Linked DNA regions of Oryctolagus cuniculus. The protein of the gene in region 1 interacts with the protein of each later gene in a pairwise test. Links are inferred from orthologs where the notes say so. Each region holds a gene or a part of one and is shown on either strand. Other genes may lie near its edges.

Evidence for each region.
Region 2: the proteins of MYBPC3 (region 1) and ACTC1 interact in a two-hybrid assay, tested with the Homo sapiens proteins (2 studies listed by IntAct). The link is inferred for Oryctolagus cuniculus from reciprocal best matches to the Homo sapiens genes MYBPC3 and ACTC1.

The regions. Positions count from the first base shown.
Region 1 is NC_091432.1:18,629,470-18,633,730, forward strand, and holds the start of MYBPC3 (myosin-binding protein C, cardiac-type), read left to right. Parts: upstream 1-1,344; 5' UTR 1,345-1,427; coding exon 1,428-1,452; intron 1,453-2,498; coding exon 2,499-2,765; intron 2,766-3,346; coding exon 3,347-3,454; intron 3,455-3,530; coding exon 3,531-3,638; intron 3,639-3,725; coding exon 3,726-3,874; intron 3,875-4,132; coding exon 4,133-4,250; intron 4,251-4,261. UniProt on the Homo sapiens protein: Thick filament-associated protein located in the crossbridge region of vertebrate striated muscle a bands. In vitro it binds MHC, F-actin and native thin filaments, and modifies the activity of actin-activated myosin ATPase.
Region 2 is NC_091443.1:57,697,202-57,700,418, forward strand, and holds the end of ACTC1 (actin, alpha cardiac muscle 1), read right to left. Parts: intron 2,959-3,217; coding exon 2,797-2,958; intron 2,660-2,796; coding exon 2,468-2,659; intron 1,681-2,467; coding exon 1,499-1,680; intron 960-1,498; coding exon 816-959; 3' UTR 632-815; downstream 1-631. UniProt on the Homo sapiens protein: Actins are highly conserved proteins that are involved in various types of cell motility and are ubiquitously expressed in all eukaryotic cells.

The DNA of each region.
Region 1 (4,261 bases):
AGGAGCAGCTGGGACACGAAGTGGCGCCCATCTGGGATGCCGGCGCTGCAGGCCGTGGCTTTACCCGCTACGCCACAGCGCCAGCCCCAGTTTGCTTCTTTCTATAGCAGCAGATGGCCCCGATGTGATAAAGGGTGGAGGTCGAGCTGCAGGGAGCAGCTGTCACAGACGAACGGGGTGGGGGTGGGGGCGACCAGGGGATCCAGAATAGTCTGGCATCAATCTTTGTGACTCTGCCAACAGCGGGCTCTGCTTCTCCACCCTCCATTTTGGGGTGTATTTAGAAGTCACCCCACACCCTCACAGGTAGGCTCCCCCAGCCCTTATACCAGCCCTTGATGTGCAACTCATAACAGCACACACTGAGACAGGCACACACTGCCCTAAACATTTCATTTTATTTGAAAGGCAGAGAGAGAGTCCATCTGCTGGTTGTTCCCTAAACGTCCTCAACAGCCAGGGCTGGGCCAGGCTGAAGCCAGGAGCCAGGAACTCCATCTGGGTCTCCCACATGGGTGGCAGGGGCCCAGCTCAGCACGTGGGCATCCCCTGCTACCTCCGGGGTGTGCATTAGCAGGAAGCCAGAATCAAAAGCCGAGTAAGGACCGCAGCCCTGCATTCTAACGTGGGATGCAGCTAACACTGTTAGACATAAGCCCGCTACAGTAGTGGTCCCGGGCAGTGGGCACGGCGGCCCCCGATGTGCTTCAAGGTTGAGGAGAAGGCAATTCTGAACTTGGGGTCTGTGGCACAACCCACGCCTGGCAAGCATGCTTCTGACCCATGATCCTCAAGGCCACGGACCAGGCACGCTTGGCAGCCAGAGGGAGGTGCGGACGGGGGCTGGCATTGCGGCCACTTTCAGTGTCAGCCTCCCACTTCTGATCCAGCCCCCGGCTAATGCATCTGGGAGGGCCGTGGAAGTTACCCGAGTACTTGGGCCCCTGCACCCATGTGAGAGACCCCGATGGAGTTCCTGACTCCTGGCTCCAGCCGGGCCCAGCCCCAGCTGTTGTGGTCATTTGGGGAGTGAACCAGCGGATGGAAGACCTCGCTCGCTCTCGCTCTCCCTCCTTCCCTCCCTCCTCCTCCCTTCCTTTCACATAAATAAATCTTAACAAAAAAGGATGCAGACAGGGCTTGGGGTACCCTGAAGGTCACCGGACTTGGAGGGGCAGGAGCCACGGTGGTGTGTTAGGGGCGGGGAAGGGACAGGAGCCAGCCAGGAACAGTGTGGCCCTACCTTCTCCCCAAGCAGACATCAGCTCTCTGGAATTTGTCTAAATTTAGCAGGTGCCTGGGAAAGAGGCAGATAAGCAAAGCCAGGGAGGGGGAGGCCCCCATATATAGTGGGGAGGCCAGGACCCCACTCAGTCCGTCTCTGGGTGGCCCGTGCCTGCGTGGTGCCTGGTGTGACTTCTCTCACGATGCCGGAGCCGGGGAAGAAACCAGGTAGCTCCCAGCCTGGGGCTGGGTCTGAGTGGGGGGCTGGGGGCAGGGGGTGACTGCAATCGGGGGGCAGGACTGGGAGGGAGTTCTTGAGGGGTTAATGAGGATGAGGTCTCGGAGCTCCAGGGCACGGTAGGGGTCCCCCCAGGTCCCATTCTAAGTCTCCATTTCTATGCTCCAGTCCTCTGAAGACAGAGAAGGTGAACCCAGGATCAGGGCCCCAGAGCGAGGCGAGAACCCAGGCAGGGGGTTGCCAGCCCGCATCCCGGTCCCAGAGCACAGGGGGACCAAGCTCAGCCCAGACGTGAGCCAGGCTCAATGCATGCCCTTGGACCAGCCCCACCCGCCTTGTGCCTGTCTCCCCATCCACGCGGGAGGGCTGGGCTCGGCTCTGCCAGCTGATAGCCAATCCACCTCCTTAGCCTGCACCTGCGTGGCCCCCACGCCAGGCCTGGCCCACGCTGCGAGTGATGCAGTCCCTCTTCTCAGGGAGAAAACATACAAGTGGCTCCTGAGGCCGGGCCAAGGGCAGAGAGACCACAGAGCAGTGGCTAGGGCCTGAGCCCGGCCCTAACCAAGGCTGTCCTGGGCAGGCCCCCAGCCCCCCACCCCCAGCCACCTCCCAGGCCCGCTTTATCTCAGTTGTCCCTTGGAGGACAAATTTAGCCACATTCCACGTAAGCAGAGCACCTGCCCCTTGTCAAGGGCCCCAGACGGTGGGGGGATGGGGGTGGGGGCTGGGCTGAGCAGCCGTGTGCCCAGGCAGGGAGAGCAGAGTATTTAGGGAGCACACCTAGCAAAGTCTGGTGTGGAGGTTAGGACCACAGCCTTGGCTCCCCTGCCTACTGGCTGCGAGATCCTGGACAAACCACTCAACCTGTCTGAGCCTCAGTGTCCTCATCTGGGAAATGGACGTAATAAGGGCACCCACCTACCTCCTGGAGCTGCTGGAGAAGTCAGAGGTGCTGTGTGGAAGGACTTAATAAGAGAGGAGCAGGGGCAGGTGCACAAGCCGCAGGGGCCCCTGCAGCCTCCATCTGGCTCTCTAGCCTCAGCCTTCAGCAAGAAGCCGCGCTCGGCGGAAGTGGCCGCAGGCAGCGCCGCCGTGTTCGAAGCTGAGACCGAGCGGGCCGGGCTGAAGGTGCGCTGGCAGCGGGGAGGCAGTGACCTCAGTGCCAGTGACAAGTATGGCCTGGTGGCCGAGGGCACACGTCACACGCTGACGGTGCGGGACGCATGCCCTGCTGACCAAGGCTCCTATGCGGTCATCGCTGGCTCCTCCAAAGTCAAGTTTGACCTCAAGGTCATAGAGGCAGGTAAGACTCAGGTCAGCCCGATTTTTGGGGTTTGCAGTTCTTGGGGCAGAGGCGATCCTGCCGCTGCCTACCCGGCCCCCCCAAGGTACAGGAGGCGCTGTCACATGGCCTTGCCCAGAGACCCCTCCCTGGTTCTACAGCAAGACCTTCCTGCTTGAGCCGACCGATGGGCAGCTGGGGGGAGTTCAGAGATGGACAAGGCCTCCCAGGGCAGCCCCACACACAGATGGCCATGAGATGGGCCAGCTGTTCTCCCAAGGGAGCCCTCAGAGTGTGGGTGAGGAGGGAGCCCAGGGCAGCCTGGGGGAAGTGAGCAGGGCTGAACCGCAGAGCTGTTGAGAGCAGAGCAGGGATGCAGAGCCAGGAGGAGAGGCTGAGAGGGAGCAGTGCAGGCCGGGCCCCTGCTCAGCATGAGCCACAGCTCAGGGGCCCCGGGCCAGAGTGTGCGGACAGGGCCAGAGCGCTCTGGACATCCTCATTGAACCAGAGGCGTGCTCAAGAGTCATACTTGGGAGAGAGAGGGCGGAGGGGAGGGTCTCGGATTGGAAGCTCTGCCATGACTTCCCGCCTGGCCCCTCCAGAGAAGGCAGAGCCCGTGCCAGCCCCTGCACCTGCTGAGACCCCTGGAGCCCCCGGAGTAGCCCTGGCCCCAGCGCCCGAGCTGGAAGGCAGTGCCCCAAGTCTCGAAGGTGAGAGGGCTGGGCAGGTCAGGGCTGGCGGGTACAGGGGTGACCCTGGGTGGGTCTCAAAGGCCTTTGCTCATAGGGTCAAACTCAGCAGCTGCCGCCGGCCCTGCCCCTGGGTGCCCTGGGGCCCCTGATGACGCTATTGGGCTCTTTGTGATGCGGCCGCAGGACGGCGAAGTGACCGTGGGTGAGTGTGGGTTGCTGTGCAGAGGGTGGGGTGGGGAGGCAGGCGGCAGGGCACCCTCGAGCCCAGCTTGCTGCCCCTCTCCTGCAGGTGGCAGCATCACCTTCTCGGCCCGCGTGGCCGGGGCCAGCCTCCTGAAGCCACCCGTGGTCAAGTGGTTCAAGGGCAAGTGGGTGGACCTGAGCAGCAAGGTGGGCCAACACCTGCAGCTGCACGACAGCTACGACCGGACCAGCAAGGTGGGGCCTGCAAGGCATGGGGGTCTGGGGCACACAGGGGCCTCCAGTGTTGTAGGCAGAGCCGATCCGCTCAGGTGTGCAGGCTGTGCACTGCACAAAGTGCTTCTTAAATAGATGCCATCACACACTAGGGTGCGATTACAATCATGCACCAGCAGATGGCAGTCACGGGCCTTGAGACAGGACGAAGGCGGGTGGGGCATTGGCCACTCCCAGACTCTGCTAGGGGCCGTGTCCGCTGATACCTCATCCCCACAGGTCTACCTATTTGAGCTGCACATCACTGACGCCCAGGTGGCCTTCGCCGGTGGCTACCGCTGCGAGGTGTCCACCAAGGACAAATTTGACAGCTGCAACTTCAACCTCACCGTACACGGTGAGGGGGCC
Region 2 (3,217 bases), on another chromosome or scaffold:
GTGGCTTTTCCCTCCCCCTTACTCCCTCGGGACTTCATGCCACCCAAAACCCCAGTTCCAAGATTTCAAAGAAATAAAAAGGTTGAAGACTTTTGTCTCACAAATTAGTCATCAATTATGCAAAAATGTCTGATTCCTGCTGCCTCACACATATTTTGAACATGCACAGTGGTCTTGATTTATTTAAAGTAGGATGTGACTGGACCGTGGCTTTTGTGTTTCATGCATATCAGGAAGACAAGTGAAGAATTAAAAGATTGAGAAACTAAACCAATTTATTTAAAATAGTCTTGGACTTTCTCATTACCAATATGTATGTGCTTTTCTGCAAAGTTACAAAAATGATTTGAATATCTGCTAAAGCAACAACTTTTGGTCATTTAGTCATTCATAGCCACTAATTTTAGTTGGCCGTTTCACTTCTTGATTATAGAGAATCAAACACGATTTACTTTTCAGATATGAAATATATTCACGATTCTGTTCCAAAGTATAAAAAAATTATCATTCTAACCCCCAGGTATATGTCCCACGGATTCATCTGATAAACTTATGGTTCCATAATATTACAATGTCAAAGCAAACACTGGCCCCACCTCATGCTTACCCCAAAAAGAAATAGAAGCTTCTGTAGGTTGCAAGTCCTGGCCTGGTTTATTTATAAAGCAATAAATATAAGAAGCACAAACAAACTCCACGTGTGTAAACAAACTGTACAATGATTGATGAGAGATGGGGCAGGGGGTGGCTCGGAAGACTCCAAGAAGCATAATACTGTCATCCTGAACACAGGGTAGACTAGGAGAGAAGGCACCTTAGAAGCATTTGCGGTGGACAATGGATGGTCCTGCCTCATCATACTCTTGCTTGCTTATCCACATCTGCTGGAAGGTGGACAGAGAAGCCAGGATAGAGCCCCCAATCCAGACAGAGTATTTACGCTCGGGGGGAGCAATAATCTGCAGAAAGAAAACAGAAACTTCCAGTGAACTCTGTAGTTCTAAGCAACATAACAAGTAATCTGTTGGGAAGAGTCACAGAAAAAATATTAGAAATTCATTCACTGTGATGTGAGATACTTCACTCCAAAAAATAATGTGGCCAATCAAGTGTTAGGAACTTTCCTCTATTTCATCATTTCCATTATTAAACATTCTACAAGGTAGAATTTCACCCACTTCTCTGAACTAGAGAATTGTATGACAGCAAGCTAAATGCAAGGATGGAGGTTACCCCAAAAGTTGGGGACTTCTAAAATGTTTAAAAGATTTAATTTTAAAAAAATATTTATTTTTAGTTGCTGCTTGAAAGCATTTAATTTAGAGTTTCCTATCTAGGGAAAAGTGCTAGAAAAAAAATCAGAAAAAGTTCTTTAAAAGGTAAAGGGTAAAGTCTATTGGAGACAGGGAGGTAAGTGTGAGGGTAAAGGAATTAGGAATGAAGTTCTGCTTCAGAAGTCAAGATCTGCCTTGTCTCTCCTCCCCACAAAAGTCTTTACCTTAATCTTCATGGTGCTGGGAGCCAAGGCAGTGATTTCCTTTTGCATTCGATCAGCAATACCAGGGTACATGGTGGTGCCTCCAGATAAGACATTGTTGGCATACAGGTCTTTGCGAATGTCAATGTCACACTTCATGATGCTATTGTAAGTAGTTTCATGAATGCCAGCAGATTCCATACCTAGAAGCAAGTTTATTAAAAAAAAAAAATCACAGTACATTTAACACATTTAGGGTGGAGGAGAGAGAACAGGACTTCTCTTTGTTGCTAAGCTGTCACCATTTGTCTCTGAAACATATGTTCCCCTATAAGACACACTGGGGGGAACAGGTGGAACAAGTGTCTTTTAAAAGTGCTGGCAGATGATCCTCAAAAGACTACCAAGAAACTAAAGCTCTGTTTAGCATTTATTTAGAGTGAATACCTTCTGTAACTATCAGATGTGTGGAGATGTATTGGAAAATGACAAAACATACAGTTAAATTAAAAATAAGGGAATTTTTAATTTTCAGATTAAATCAGAGCCTGACAAGTTTCCTCTTAGAATCATCTCTAAGGAAAGATATTTGATGACATACTAGCATCCACTTATTAGGAGAAGGATTGCCATTGCATTTGATGATGATTCACTTAAAAGGCAAATTCCGCTACTTGGTAATGGAACTTATTGGAATAAATCAACTCTATGAGTAATTGTTCCTTTCCTGCAGACACGTGATATTCTGTTACTACTCCGTCTTGTCCCTTATTTTGAGATGAAGTCAGTGTGCCATCCTTTATTATATCACTGGAGCAGAACACAGACTTTCCATTTAATGAGCCAGCCGTACTTGAGGCTGAGCTGTGTGAGACTCCATGCTACGACTTCTTTTAACTCATGGATCCTTAATCCCTACTAACTATAGGAGATTTTATTCTAGGAGACCCCACGATTTTCTGTGCCTCTGTCCTAAACCCAGCAACTCACCAATGAAGGAGGGCTGGAAGAGTGTCTCAGGGCAGCGGAAGCGCTCGTTGCCAATAGTGATGACTTGGCCGTCAGGCAGTTCATAGCTCTTCTCCAGGGAGGAGGAGGAGGCAGCTGTGGCCATCTCATTCTCAAAATCCAGGGCAACATAACACAGCTTCTCTTTAATGTCACGGACAATTTCACGTTCAGCTGCAGAAATAAAGGGCATCACTGTCAAGCTCTGAAGAAAGAGAGTCAATTGTGGGGAGGAAGGTGGATTCACTGAGGGAGGAAAAAAAAGCAGAGACATGCTGTGGCAGATGAGACACACACACACACACACTCACCAGTGGTGACAAAAGAGTAGCCACGCTCCGTGAGGATCTTCATGAGATAGTCAGTGAGATCCCGACCAGCCAGATCCAAACGCATGATGGCATGGGGCAAAGCATAGCCCTCATAGATGGGGACGTTGTGAGTTACACCATCCCCAGAGTCCAGAACAATGCCTGTCATGGGAAATGGAACAAGGGAAGTCCCTAAGGACCACTGCTTTTAGTCACGGCAAAGTCTGATTCTAGTCTTTACTGAGGGATACTAGTGCTGGCACGAATCCAAATAAATTAGATCTTTTACACAAGAATAACGAGAATAAGCATAAGTTGATACTAAAACTGAAGTCAACAGCAGCTCTTCCTTTTAAAGATTATAGTAGAAAAATGTCCCAAGGACACTTTCAAGTGACTATCCCTCTTATTAGCCATTAGC